3 linked regions of the Callithrix jacchus genome follow. The protein of the gene in region 1 binds, or shares a complex with, the protein of each later gene. Links are inferred from orthologs where the notes say so. Each region holds a gene or a part of one and is shown in the gene's direction. Other genes may lie near its edges.

What was found.
Region 2: the proteins of CAST (region 1) and CAPNS1 are in contact, whole or in part, in a crystal structure (PDB 3BOW), measured with the Rattus norvegicus proteins. The link is inferred for Callithrix jacchus from reciprocal best matches to the Homo sapiens genes CAST and CAPNS1. Residues at the interface, in NP_445747.2 of Rattus norvegicus: Pro652, Ile653, Asp654, Ala655, Leu656, Ser657, Asp659, Leu660, Asp661; in NP_058814.1 of Rattus norvegicus: Phe103, Leu106, Gln109, Leu110, Ile125, Lys128, Val129, Arg132, His133, Leu136, Phe166, Trp170, Lys174, Gln177, Lys181.
Region 3: the proteins of CAST (region 1) and CAPN2 are in contact, whole or in part, in a crystal structure (PDB 3BOW), measured with the Rattus norvegicus proteins. The link is inferred for Callithrix jacchus from reciprocal best matches to the Homo sapiens genes CAST and CAPN2. Residues at the interface, in NP_445747.2 of Rattus norvegicus: Glu571, Leu572, Asp573, Ala575, Leu576, Asp577, Glu578, Leu579, Ser580, Ser582, Leu583, Gly584, Gln585, Arg586, Gln587, Pro588, Leu596, Asp597, Asp598, Lys599, Val600, Lys601, Glu602, Lys603, Ile604, Lys605, Ala606, Glu607, His608, Ser609; in NP_058812.1 of Rattus norvegicus: Glu62, Leu63, Ser68, Lys69, Gln99, Gly100, Ala101, Leu102, Gly103, Trp106, Lys161, Asp162, Leu165, Leu166, His169, Ser196, Gly197, Gly198, Thr200, Ser241, Asp243, Ile244, Thr245, Asp249, Ser250, Glu251, Ala252, Val253, Val259, Lys260.

What each region holds. Positions count from the first base shown.
Region 1 is NC_133503.1:113,951,459-113,955,201, reverse strand, and holds the start of CAST (calpastatin), read left to right. Parts: upstream 1-1,162; 5' UTR 1,163-1,298; coding exon 1,299-1,373; intron 1,374-2,038; exon of another isoform or gene 2,039-2,150; coding exon of another isoform or gene 2,151-2,180; exon of another isoform or gene 2,181-2,336; intron 2,337-3,743.
Region 2 is NC_133523.1:32,291,483-32,295,225, forward strand, and holds the start of CAPNS1 (calpain small subunit 1), read left to right. Parts: upstream 1-1,086; 5' UTR 1,087-1,180; intron 1,181-1,980; 5' UTR 1,981-1,995; coding exon 1,996-2,207; intron 2,208-2,561; exon of another isoform or gene 2,562-2,600; coding exon of another isoform or gene 2,601-2,623; intron 2,624-3,263; coding exon 3,264-3,297; intron 3,298-3,620; coding exon 3,621-3,710; intron 3,711-3,743. UniProt on the Homo sapiens protein: Regulatory subunit of the calcium-regulated non-lysosomal thiol-protease which catalyzes limited proteolysis of substrates involved in cytoskeletal remodeling and signal transduction. Essential for embryonic development.
Region 3 is NC_133520.1:5,086,402-5,090,144, reverse strand, and holds the start of CAPN2 (calpain-2 catalytic subunit), read left to right. Parts: upstream 1-823; 5' UTR 824-871; coding exon 872-1,108; intron 1,109-3,743. UniProt on the Homo sapiens protein: Calcium-regulated non-lysosomal thiol-protease which catalyzes limited proteolysis of substrates involved in cytoskeletal remodeling and signal transduction. Proteolytically cleaves MYOC at 'Arg-226'.

The sequences.
Region 1 (3,743 bases):
ATCTCTCCTTAAAATCTGCCTTCTGACCAGGTGCAGTGGCTCATGCCTGTAATCCCAGCACTTTGGGAAGCTGCAGTGGGTGCATCAGTTGAGGTCAGGAGTTCAAGACCAGTCTTGACCAACGTGGTGAAATCCCGTCTCTACTTAAAAATAAATAAATTAGCTACTAAATAAATAAATAAATAAATTAGCTGGGTGTGGGGACGCGCCTGTAGTCCCAGCTACTCAGGAGACTGAGGCAGGAGGTTGCAGTAGTGAGCCGAGATCGCGCCACTGCACTCCGGCCTGGGCGGAAGAGCAACACTGAGACTCCAAAACAAAACAAAACGAATCTACTTTCTCTCTCTTCAATTGTCTAAACCTCAATCCTGCAGACAGCTGTGACCCCAAGTCCCAAAATGATGTTGCTATTGCAGGGTAACAAACAGGTTTTCTGTCAGGCCCGACGGTGAACCAGCAGCAACTGCAGGCTGACAGTCTCTTACAAGAGCTTATCCTAGTAGGGCTTGTTAAATTTCACTTCCAACCCCAAACCAGGAAGTGCTAAGATGAGCCCAAGACAAAAGCAATCTAGCTTCAGAAACAGAACCCTCCAGACTGCAGAAAGACTATAACCTTTTAATAACGGTTTAAAATTTGGAACTGTTCTCCGGTTTGCATTGGCATATATGATCTCTTCCCCATAAAAGTTTATTAAAATTCAAAATTGCCAAAAAAACAAAGTAAAATCATATAAAACACACACAGGCCAGTGCCCTCACTTAAACACTCACACACAGACAAATTGTTTTTATGATCCGCTTCCTTATCTAGACAGTCCAGGATTGAGCCAGATTTAAGTTGGCAACCTCTCAGCTAAAGCAGGGCGGAATGTAAAAAGAGTATCTACTACTCCGGATTCTTGGGAGGAAGGTCGAAGCGCAGATGGGCCACGCCCGGGTCCCGCTGTCTCATTGCACAACTGCAAGATCGATCTGGGCATCGAAGGAGGAACGCTGTAACCTCCAACCCCTTTTTTCTGACCAACCGGGACCCGAGCAGTGCTGGGGCCGGGGAGGGTCACCCGTTGAGGACCGGGGCGGAGGGTGTTAAGTTACAGGGCAGGAGTCCGGGTCCCCCCGCGGGCAGGAAGGGGAGGGCCCAACGGGGCGAGGGGAACCCCGGTGCGGGCCTGGGGTGGGGTCGGAAAAGCTGTCTCACCGCGCGCTCCCGGGCCCTCCGCTCCCTCCCTCCCTCGCTGGCCTCCCTGCCACTCTCTGCGGCGCCTTCCCGGAGGCAGCGCCCGCAGCGGCCTCGCCATGTCCCAGCCTGGCCGGAAGCCCGCCGCCTCCCCGCGGCCCGGGCGCGCTGCCGCAGCCCGCCGCACCCAGGAGGTGAGTGGAGCTCCTGTCGGTGCCGCGGGGCTGGGAGACTGGGGACTGGGTCTCGGAGCTGAGGCCGCCCTCCAGGGGCGTTGCGGGGCTGGCCGATCTGCTGTCCCCGGCGCCCCAGCGGGGCAGGGAGAGGGACAGGGAGAGGGCTCCTGGCTTGGCCGCCACTTGGCAGGTGGCTGGAGGTGGCCGCGGTTTCCCGGTCGGCTCCAGAGCGCTGGGCGTGGCGTTGGCTGGGTATAGTGGGTGGGGGGCGCGTCGAGAAAAGTTGGCTGGTGAGACGTGGTGAATGAGGATAAGGATGAAAAGGGAATGAGGTTCACTCAGGACCCCCGAGTGAGTGGGGAGGTTTCACTAGACAGCGGGATCTAGTCTTCTACTCTAGTGCCGAGCCGCAGGGCGCGGCTGCCTGGAGACGCCGAGCCTCCTCCCTATCCAGCCCTGAGCCAAATCGGGCGGGCGGGGCGGGGAGGGGCGCTGCGGGGCAGGGCCTGCGACTGGCCCCGCCCCCAAGGTTCTGCCCACCTGCAGACCCGGAGCCTCTTCCCTAACCAGCCCCGAGCCAAATCGGGCGGGCGCGGCGGGGAGGGGCACGGCGGGGCGGGATCTACTACTGGCCCCGCCCCCAGGGTTCTGCCCACCTGGCAGCCTTGGGGTGAGCCGAGCTCAGTGCCAGCCAAGTCCCGGCCAGGCATAGTGCGAGCCCGGCGCCCCCAGCACAGCACCCCGCGTCCTCTCCGGGTCCCCCGCCGTGCGAATCGGAGCCAGCCGGTTGTCGCCATGGCATTCGCCAGCTGGTGGTACAAGACGGTAAATAGCAGCGGTTGTGCCCGGGCAAGACCGGGAAGGGAGGGTGTTGGAAGGGAGTGAGTTGGCTTTGCCCTTCTGGACCTGCGGACGAAGCGTTGTGCAAAGTTTGGCGGAGAAGGGTTGCGGACCGGGTGCGACCTCCTTACAGACCGTCAGGTTAGGCTCCGGGAAAGGCCGGGGACTCTCCCTCTTGTGGTATGTGGGAGCGCGCCCAAGCGTGCGTGGTGCATGCACCTCTCTCGCCCCGGTACAAGTGGGATGGAACTGGAATTGTTGCTGGAGGAATTCCGTCTAGGAGGTGGATTCCTGAATGAACTCGGACGCAGCTCATACGAGCTTAGATCTAGGGTTTGTTTTTAACCCCTAAGTAAACCTCAAAACTTTCAGAGGGAGGTTGTTGGTCTTATATTTGCCAACGCAAAGGAGAGGCAGCTGCAATGTAAGTCAAGGAGAAAATCTCAAACACCAAGGCGCAGAAGCAACTGAGATCTGAGACCAAGACCCTTGGACGGAGCGTTGGAGGGATGGGAGAGAGAAAGCGAGGAAGTGAGAGAGGGAGGGAGAGAGACAGCGCGCACGACAGCGATCTGCTCTGCACTTTATTGCTTTAGATGGGGGACGAGAACGTTCCATTTGTTTGGTGCATTGAATGTCTGTCCTACCAATTAGGTGTGATATCCAGTCAAACTGGCACTTCTAGTGTTTTGGAACCAGGAAGCATGATTTAACATTAGATTGCTGTCCAAAAACACACACACACACACACACAAAAGTTTTGTTGATAGTGAAAACCAAAATGTTTATGTCCCATTGATTTATGGTAAGAATTTAAAAATTAGTTAGATATGTCTCTTTCTCTCTTAGTATGTGGTGTTGGAAAAAGCAAAGATGTTGGAATCAGACACTCTTTGGAGCTAGAAATCATATATAAGAATCAAGAAACTGTTACTTATCAGACAGTGGGCATTTATTGATCATCTACTATGTGCCAGGCAGAATTATATCCACAAGTAGTGTTTTTAAAAATTATTTTTACTCTCCCTTTCTATATATATAGTATATATAATATATACTATATATGGAGATAGGCTATATATGTGTACTGTGTGTGTGTGTATATTTATTGTGTGTGTGTGTGTATACACACACACACACACACACACATACATACATACAATATACTATTCAGGGTCTCTCTCATTATGTTGCCTAGGCTGGTCTAAAACTCCTGGTCTCAAGCAATCCTCCCACCTCAGCCTCCCAAAATGTTGGGATTACAGGCATGAGCCACTGTACTGCACCTGCAAGTGCTTTTTAAAGCCTCTACATACATTGTGGAGAACAAAGAGTTTTTCTCAAATGGAAATAAGTCAACCTTTTCAACCTGCTTTCACATCTGTAAACTAGAAATGATATGAACTACATAAGTACTGGTGAGGACTAATTAGATTCAAAATCAAGATGCTATATACATATGCTTTTAAGAATTGGGAATTCCAATTTCCCTTGAGATATTTCTTCATGAATGTTTTCCAGTGCATTTCCTGGACCTTTAAATGTAGC
Region 2 (3,743 bases), on another chromosome or scaffold:
GGTTGTGTGCTATAGCTCACGCCTGTAATCTGAGCACTTTGGGAGGCCAAGGCAAGTGGATCCCCTAAGGTCAGAAATTTGAGATCAGCCTGACCAACGGGGTTTCGCCATGTTGGTCATGATTCGCCATGAATCTCGCTGTCTCCCAGGCTGGAGTGCACATGGCGTGATCTTGGCTCACTGCAACCTGTGCCTCCCCAGTTCAAGCGGTTCTCTTGCTTCAGCCTCCTGAGTAGCTGGGATTACAGGCATGTACCACCACGCCCAGCTAATTTTTTGTATTTTTTTTTTAGTAGAGACCGGGTTTCACTATGTTGGCCAGGATGGTCTCGATCTCTTGACCTCGTGATCCACCCCCATCGGCCTCCCAAAGTGCTGGGATTACAAGCGTGAGCCACTGCACCTGGCCATATTTTTTAAGTAAATAAAGAAACCAGGCCGTGCCCAAAGGAATCTTCCTGTGTCTGGGGGCTTTTGAGACTGGCATACAGAGGATACCCTTTGGGCTGGTCCAGCAAACAACGATTCTGGTGGCCCCTGACTGGGGCGGGGGCGTGGTAAGGAGAGCTTGGAAGGAGGCGCAGGCCCTGCCTGCGGTTTGACTGCCATCCGTGCTGCTGCAGGCACCCGGAAAGGCAGTCCAGCTTAAGTCCTCGCCAAAGACTCGAGCGTACGAGCCAAACCATACTCCAGGCCTCCAGGAGCTGTTTGTCGCGACAAGACCTGGAGAGGGCCGTGCGGAGTTCCTTAGTGAGTGGACCGAAAACCGCCACTCTGGAAGGGTATAGGCAGGCCCTGGGGCGAAAATTCACATTACGACACTGGGAGGGGGCGGGTCCCCTCCGAGTTCTAGTCCGCTGGCGCCTCAACCCAGACTTGAGGGGTGTGGTTCAGACCCCAGCCTACCGAGTCAGAGCGAGTTTAGGACCTCCAGAGCTGGAAACGCGCCGGGAGGAGTCCAGCCAGATTCGCGTTCCGCTAGCCTCGGCGGGTCGGGGAGCGCATGCGCAGTTTCCACTTCGGCTCTAGGACCGCGCGGGCAACTGCGGGGCCGCGGTGCAGAGTCTGACCGGAGAGTTGCGTCCTGAGTCACCGGCCCCGCCCTTCGGAGCCGGACGCAGCGGGAGGCCCGGGAGCGGCAGTGGAACGGACCCCACGGGACCTCCGGACCTGTGCGGTGGTAAGCGCCCGGCCCGTACCCTCTCCCCACCCTGCAATTCCGGCCCTGGCGGTCCCCAGACCCGGCGAGACCGTGAAGTCTCGGCCTCGGGTCCCCAGATCCATGGTCTCATATTCAAACCCCAGACATGTTCGACCCCCTTTTATGCCGTCCCGGGGACCTTTCCCCACCCTCTGTCTCATGATCCAAAATGCAGGCCCATAGATTTCCGAGATACCCCTTGAATTCTTCCTTGGTGCGTTCTGAACCGCAATCGTAGATCTGTGCCCCCAGTTCCAGCGGGGGACCCCATTATCCGGGACCCTAGGGATCACAGCCACGATCTTAGACCCGAGCCCACAGACCCAAAGGTGACACTGGAATCCTGCCGCTGGGAACATCTAAATTCTCAAGCCCGCATTTGGGATTTCCTAAACCCCGCCCTGGGGCCCTTTAGGCCGTGGATGTTTGCTCCGCGCCCATGACCCGCCAGCGACCTCTCCATTCAGTTCCGTCGGGCACGCCTTACACCAACTTGGAGTCCCCACCAAGAGGACCCCCACCAGACCCGCACCCTCCCCTTAACGCGTGCACTCAGCCCAGGCTCCCTCAAGCCCCACGGATGCCTTTTAGACCCCAGGAGGTTGCAAACCTGATTCCCCGTTCCTGCCCCACCCATCCGAGGACAATTCTCCCTCGCAGGCTCAGACCCCCACCGGGGGCCTCAGATTCCTCCTGCTAGTCCAGCTGCCGGAAATGCGTGTTTGAGGGAAGGGTGTGGGCTCAGGACGACGCAACCACTAGTCCCTTTTTTCCCCCAGCAGTGAGTCGCAGCCATGTTCCTGGTTAACTCGTTCTTGAAGGGCGGCGGCGGCAGCGGCGGCGGGGGAGGCGGGGGCCTGGGTGGGGGCCTGGGGAATGTACTTGGAGGCCTGATCAGCGGGGCCGGGGGCGGCGGCGGCGGCGGCGGTGGAGGCGGAGGCGGTGGAGGCGGCGGTGGCGGTGGAACGGCCATGCGCATCCTAGGCGGCGTTATCAGCGCCATCAGGTGAGGTGGGGACTATTGAAGGGGCGGGGCCTGTACGCGGGAGGAGCCTCAGAAGGGGCGGGGCCTGGGGAGGAGCGTAATTTAACTAGACTAGAATAGAATTAACCTGAGGCCGACCTGGGTACCTGAATTAGGCCGGGGTGGCCTGGTTTGGGAGTCCTATAAGAGGGTGGACCCCAGTGAAGGTGATACCAGTCCTTGGGGGCAGGACTTGATATGGGGGTGGTCTGATTGTGTGGATCCAGGACAATGTGGTCCTCAGGGCACTGATCTGGAGTTTTGGGGGCGGGGCTTATGGATCTGGGCCCGGCCTGTATTGGCTACCCTGGAAACGAACGTTAAAGGGGCGGAGCCAATGCGTCTGAGTGACATTTTACGGACGGAGCTTGACTTATGAGTGCGGTGAGAGGTTTTAGGTGGGTTAATGAGGATGTGAGCCCAGGAGAAACCAAGGCCTAATGAGATAGGAGAAATAGCCCAAAATGGGCTGGGCCTGCTGGAAACTGGCTGGATTCATGTAGAAAAATGTCCTGATAGGGGTAGGGCAGGTTTGCCTAATTAGCCATGGCCACTTAACAATGATCCCTTGAAGGGGCGGGGACCTGTGGTTGGATGTTGGGAAGATAGCCATTTAAGAAGAGGGCCATGGAGTAGGGTCTTGGACAGATGGCACCTAAGGAGGATGAGGCCTTGGGAAGCTGGGGCAGAGCCTCTATAAAGTGAGCTCTCCAAGGGGCAGGGTTTGTTGATTCTGTGTGGGATTTTTAGGTCGAGGGTGGCCAAGATGGCTGGAATCTGCCCTTGGGTAGGTATGCCTGGCAGGAGTGGAGCCTCCCAGGGGACTGGTCTCTAGGTTTCCTCGAGGGTAGGGTTGGCCTGATGAAAGGAGAAGGGGGGCAGGACCAGGGCAGGGTGGATTAGGACAGGTGAAGGCAAGAACAGGTAAGGGGCACAGCAACCAAGTAAGGAAGGTGGCCTCGGGGCCAATGGTTCTGCCCCTCTGCCCGTTGGAGGCCCCGCCCCAGGCGCTAACCCCTCCCCCTTATCTCTTCGCAGCGAGGCGGCTGCGCAGTATAACCCGGAGCCCCCGGTAAGCCCCCTCTGCAGCCAGCCAAACTTCTCCCTCCAAGGCCTCTTCGAGGTCCCATCCCTGTACCTGTAGGGAAGCCCCACCTTCCACCACTTCTTGTGACATTCCTCTGCCAGTTCTTCCCGGGCCATGTCCGCAGCTTCGCCATGGGGTTTAGCCATCCCTGACATACACACTCCCCATTCGCTGCCACCCCTCATTCTTTTTCTCATCAAGCCACCCAGCCCACTATGACTTCCCCACCCAGGGTGCCTCAATGTGAGGAGCTGTCCTGGGCGGGTCCCCTACCCCCACCAGCTCTGAGCTCTCCTCCCTCTCTGCAGCCTCCACGCACACATTACTCCAACATTGAGGCCAACGAAAGTGAGGAGGTCCGACAGTTCCGGAGACTCTTTGCCCAGCTGGCTGGAGATGTAAGTAACCTGGGGTCCCTGGCCCCGTGCTAA
Region 3 (3,743 bases), on another chromosome or scaffold:
TCTTCACAGTTGCAGGGTGGGGACGTCATTTAGCCTCTCCAAGGCTCACTTTTCCCATCTGTAAGATGGGGACAGTATCAGTGCCTTCTTCACAGTTGCAGGGTGGGGACGTCATTTAGCCTCTCCAAGGCTCACTTTTCCCATCTGTAAGATGGGGACAGTATCAGTGCCTTCTTCACAGTTGCTGGTGGGGGCGTCGTTTAGCCTCTCCAAGGCTCACTTTTCCCATCTGTAAGATGGGGACAGTATCAGTGCCTTCTTCACAGTTGCAGGGTGGGGACGTCATTTAGCCTCTCCAAGGCTCACTTTTCCCATCTGTAAGATGGGGACAGTATCAGTGCCTTCTTCACAGTTGCAGGGTGGGGACGTCGTTTAGCCTCTCCAAGGCTCACTTTTCCCATCTGTAAGATGGGGACAGTATCCCGGTTGCTGGAGGATTGAATGACATGTTGTGTGCAGAGACGGCTTTTGGCTCCAAGTTCACAGCAGCTGCTGTCGCTTCGTTGACTTCACTACCTGACCCTCTGCTAACTCCCCGGGGGGTGTTTCCTGGGCCGCCACAAGGACCCTGGCCTCCGGGGTCCCCAGCCTTCCTCCCCAGGGGCCGGGAGGGTGGCCTCGGGTTCCGGTGGGAGCCCCCCCCGTGACCCCGCGCGATCCCGGGATTGGGCCGCAGATGGCAGCACCGGCCCCGGGCCGCAGCGGTCCGGTCCCCGCGCGGTGCAGGCGGCGGGTGGTCCCGGGCCGGGCTTGGCTGAGGCCACACCCCGCGGGCCGGGCCGCTTCCCTCCGGTGAATCATCGCTCGCAGCTGGGGCGCCCGCGGAGTCGCCCGACCTTGCTCTGCGCAGTGCGGCCGCCGGGACCGCAGCATGGCGGGGATCGCGGCCAAGCTGGTGAGGGACCGGGAGGCGGCCCAGGGGCTGGGCTCGCACGAGAGGGCCGTCAAGTACCTGAACCAGGACTACGGGGCGCTGCGGGACGAGTGCCTGGAGGCCGGGGCGCTCTTCCAGGACCCCTCCTTCCCGGCCATGCCCTCGTCCCTGGGCTTCAAGGAGCTGGGGCCCTACTCCAGCAAGACCCGGGGCATCGAGTGGAAGCGCCCCACGGTAGGCAGAGCGCGCGGCAGGACGCGGGCAGGGCGGGTGCAGCCCCGGGGCTGCAGTGGGGACCCCGCAGGCCCGCGACACTAACGCGCCGCCCGAGCCCGGGACTCCGTTCGAGCGTGGGGGGACCCCGGGGCCTGCCCTCTCTTCCACGCACCGAGCTTTCCTGGGCGGATCGGGCCGAATCACTGCCCTCAAACCCCACTCGCAGGCCCGCCAGGGGAGCGGCTTTAGGGCTTCACAAAAACTCGGGGTGGCACAGGAGGCCGGGGTGAAACTGAGTGGACTCCAGCGGGAGCTGGAAGGGGAGGGGAAGCGGGTGTGCAGGGAAGGGATGGTGAGAGGCAACGTCTACCAGAGAAAGTCTTGTCTCTAACCCGGGTTCTGTCTGTTCATGGAAGGCGACAGGCCGCAGCCTGGTAATTTTGTGACTAAGGATAGTCTCATGCAGCCCTGAGGTTAGATTTATTTTTCCAAAGGGCCAGGGAAACCTCCCCATAATGTTGACACTGGTAATTAACCGAGGACACGGAGGTGCTCCAAGGAGCCAGTGTCTCATGATTTCCCTGGCGGGAATCCTCCGGGAGGCCTCCAGACCCCCTTATCCTGCCCCCCTAGGGTCTCTGTCCTCCCTTCCCTGGGACACCTTCTGCTCCCCAGTCTATTTGTCCACTCCGTTTCCTGGACAACCCCTGTGGCTCTTCCTCCTGTGAGACACTTTCGCAGGCTTCTCCCGCCACGCCTAGCAAAGCCTGCAGGGAAGTGCAACTTCTAGATCCCTGTTATGAGAACAAGCCTTCCAGCTCTGCTTCCACACCCGGCAGCCTCACAGGTCACCTTGTGACCCTAAATCCAGCCCGCTGGTAGCGAGGTCTGCAGCAAGCACCCTAGCCTAGGCTTGGAGCACTTGGGTTCTTCTTGCTAACCTGCCGGATGACCTTGAGTGAGTTACTTAACCTCTCTGTGCCTCCACATCTTCATCTAAAAGAAATCACTCTGCCTAGATATTTTCTCTCTTCTGTGGCCCACAGGCCCGGCCATCCTGCCTCCTTTCAGTCTCTCAAAGGGCCAGTTCTTTCCTGCATGAGGCCCTCTCACCAGCAAGGCACGATCCTACCTGGGTTTCTGGAGTGCAGCTCACTCTCATTCTTTCCAACTTAGTCACACGTTCCCTTCCCAAAGAGGTCTTTTCTGACCCTTCTTAGCAGCCGCCTCCCCTCCGCCTGGGTATTCTCTAACTCACCCCATGCATTTCCTTCCCAGCATTGTCACACTTGAGAAATATAATCACATGTATTCGTTCTTCCTACTGAACTGCAGGGATCATATGTACATTATTTACCAGAATATCCGCAGTGCCTAGCACGTAAGCATGCCTTTCACAGCATTGATTGAGCACCTCTTACATGCCAGGCACTGTCCTGAGAGCTCAGGAGATACGGTGTTGAACACAGAAGAAGTGACTGTAGAATGAGTGGATGCAGGATTGTAATGAGCCTCACATGAAATCCTGGTTGTGAAAGCGATACACTGACTCAACAGTGTCTCACGACGATAATCCCAGCATTACGGGAGGCCAAAGTCAGAGGATTGTTTGAACCAGGAGTCTAAGACCAGCCTGGGCAACATAGTAAGACTTGTCTCTATAAAGACCATCCTGGTCAACATGGTGAAACCCCGTCTCTACTAAAAATACAAAAATTAGCTGGACATGGTGGCACGTGCCTGTAATCCCAGCTACTCGGGAGGCTGAGGCAGGAGAATTGCCTCAAACCAGGAGGCAGAGGCTGCGGTGAGCCGAGATTGCGCCATTGCACTCCAGCCTGGGCAACAAGAGCAAAACTCCGTCTCAGGAAAAATAAAAAAATGAGACACAACCCAAGAGAATGTGTTCACTTTACATTTGCATGTTTACACCGTGAGTTCACACACTTATTCACTTACTCTTGCATTCATTCAATAAGGATTTCTCTAATCTCTACTATGTGCCAGGCATAATACATATAGTTCCTGCTTCTGAAGACTTTTTTGAGGCTAGAGGGGACCGAGACAGGTCCCCCAACAGCCGGAAATGCCTGTGGGACTTCCAGATGAGGATATGGAGGTCTAGAGATGGTGGAGGGCCACTGCTTAGAGCAGGCTGCACTGCACAACCAAGTGAGAGTGTGACTATTACTCTCCCCATTTGCCGGGTGAAGAAACTGAGGCTTGGAAAGGTTAAACACTTGCCCAGAGTCAAGCTTGTGTAGGGTGTGAATCCAGGGCTGTGTGTAGTCTGTGCATGTTGAGCCTACCCCTCATGGCTGCACTCCCTGTCTCCATCCTACCTTCTCAAATGCTGCAGAGGTCAGGCAAGAGGAGCACAATTGTGTCCACTGGATTTGGACATTAGCAAGTCATTGGTGACTTAGCAGAGCAGAGCAATTTCTTTTTTTTTTTTTTTTGAGATGGAGTTTTGCTCTTGTTACCCAGACTGGAGTGCAATGGTGCAAGCAATTCTCCTGCCTCAGCCTCCCGAGTAGCTGGGACTACAGGTGCGCACCACCATGCCCAGCTAATTTTTGTATTTTTAGTAGAGACGGGGTTTCACCATGTTGACCAGGATGGTCTCGATCTCTTGACCTCATGATCCACCCGC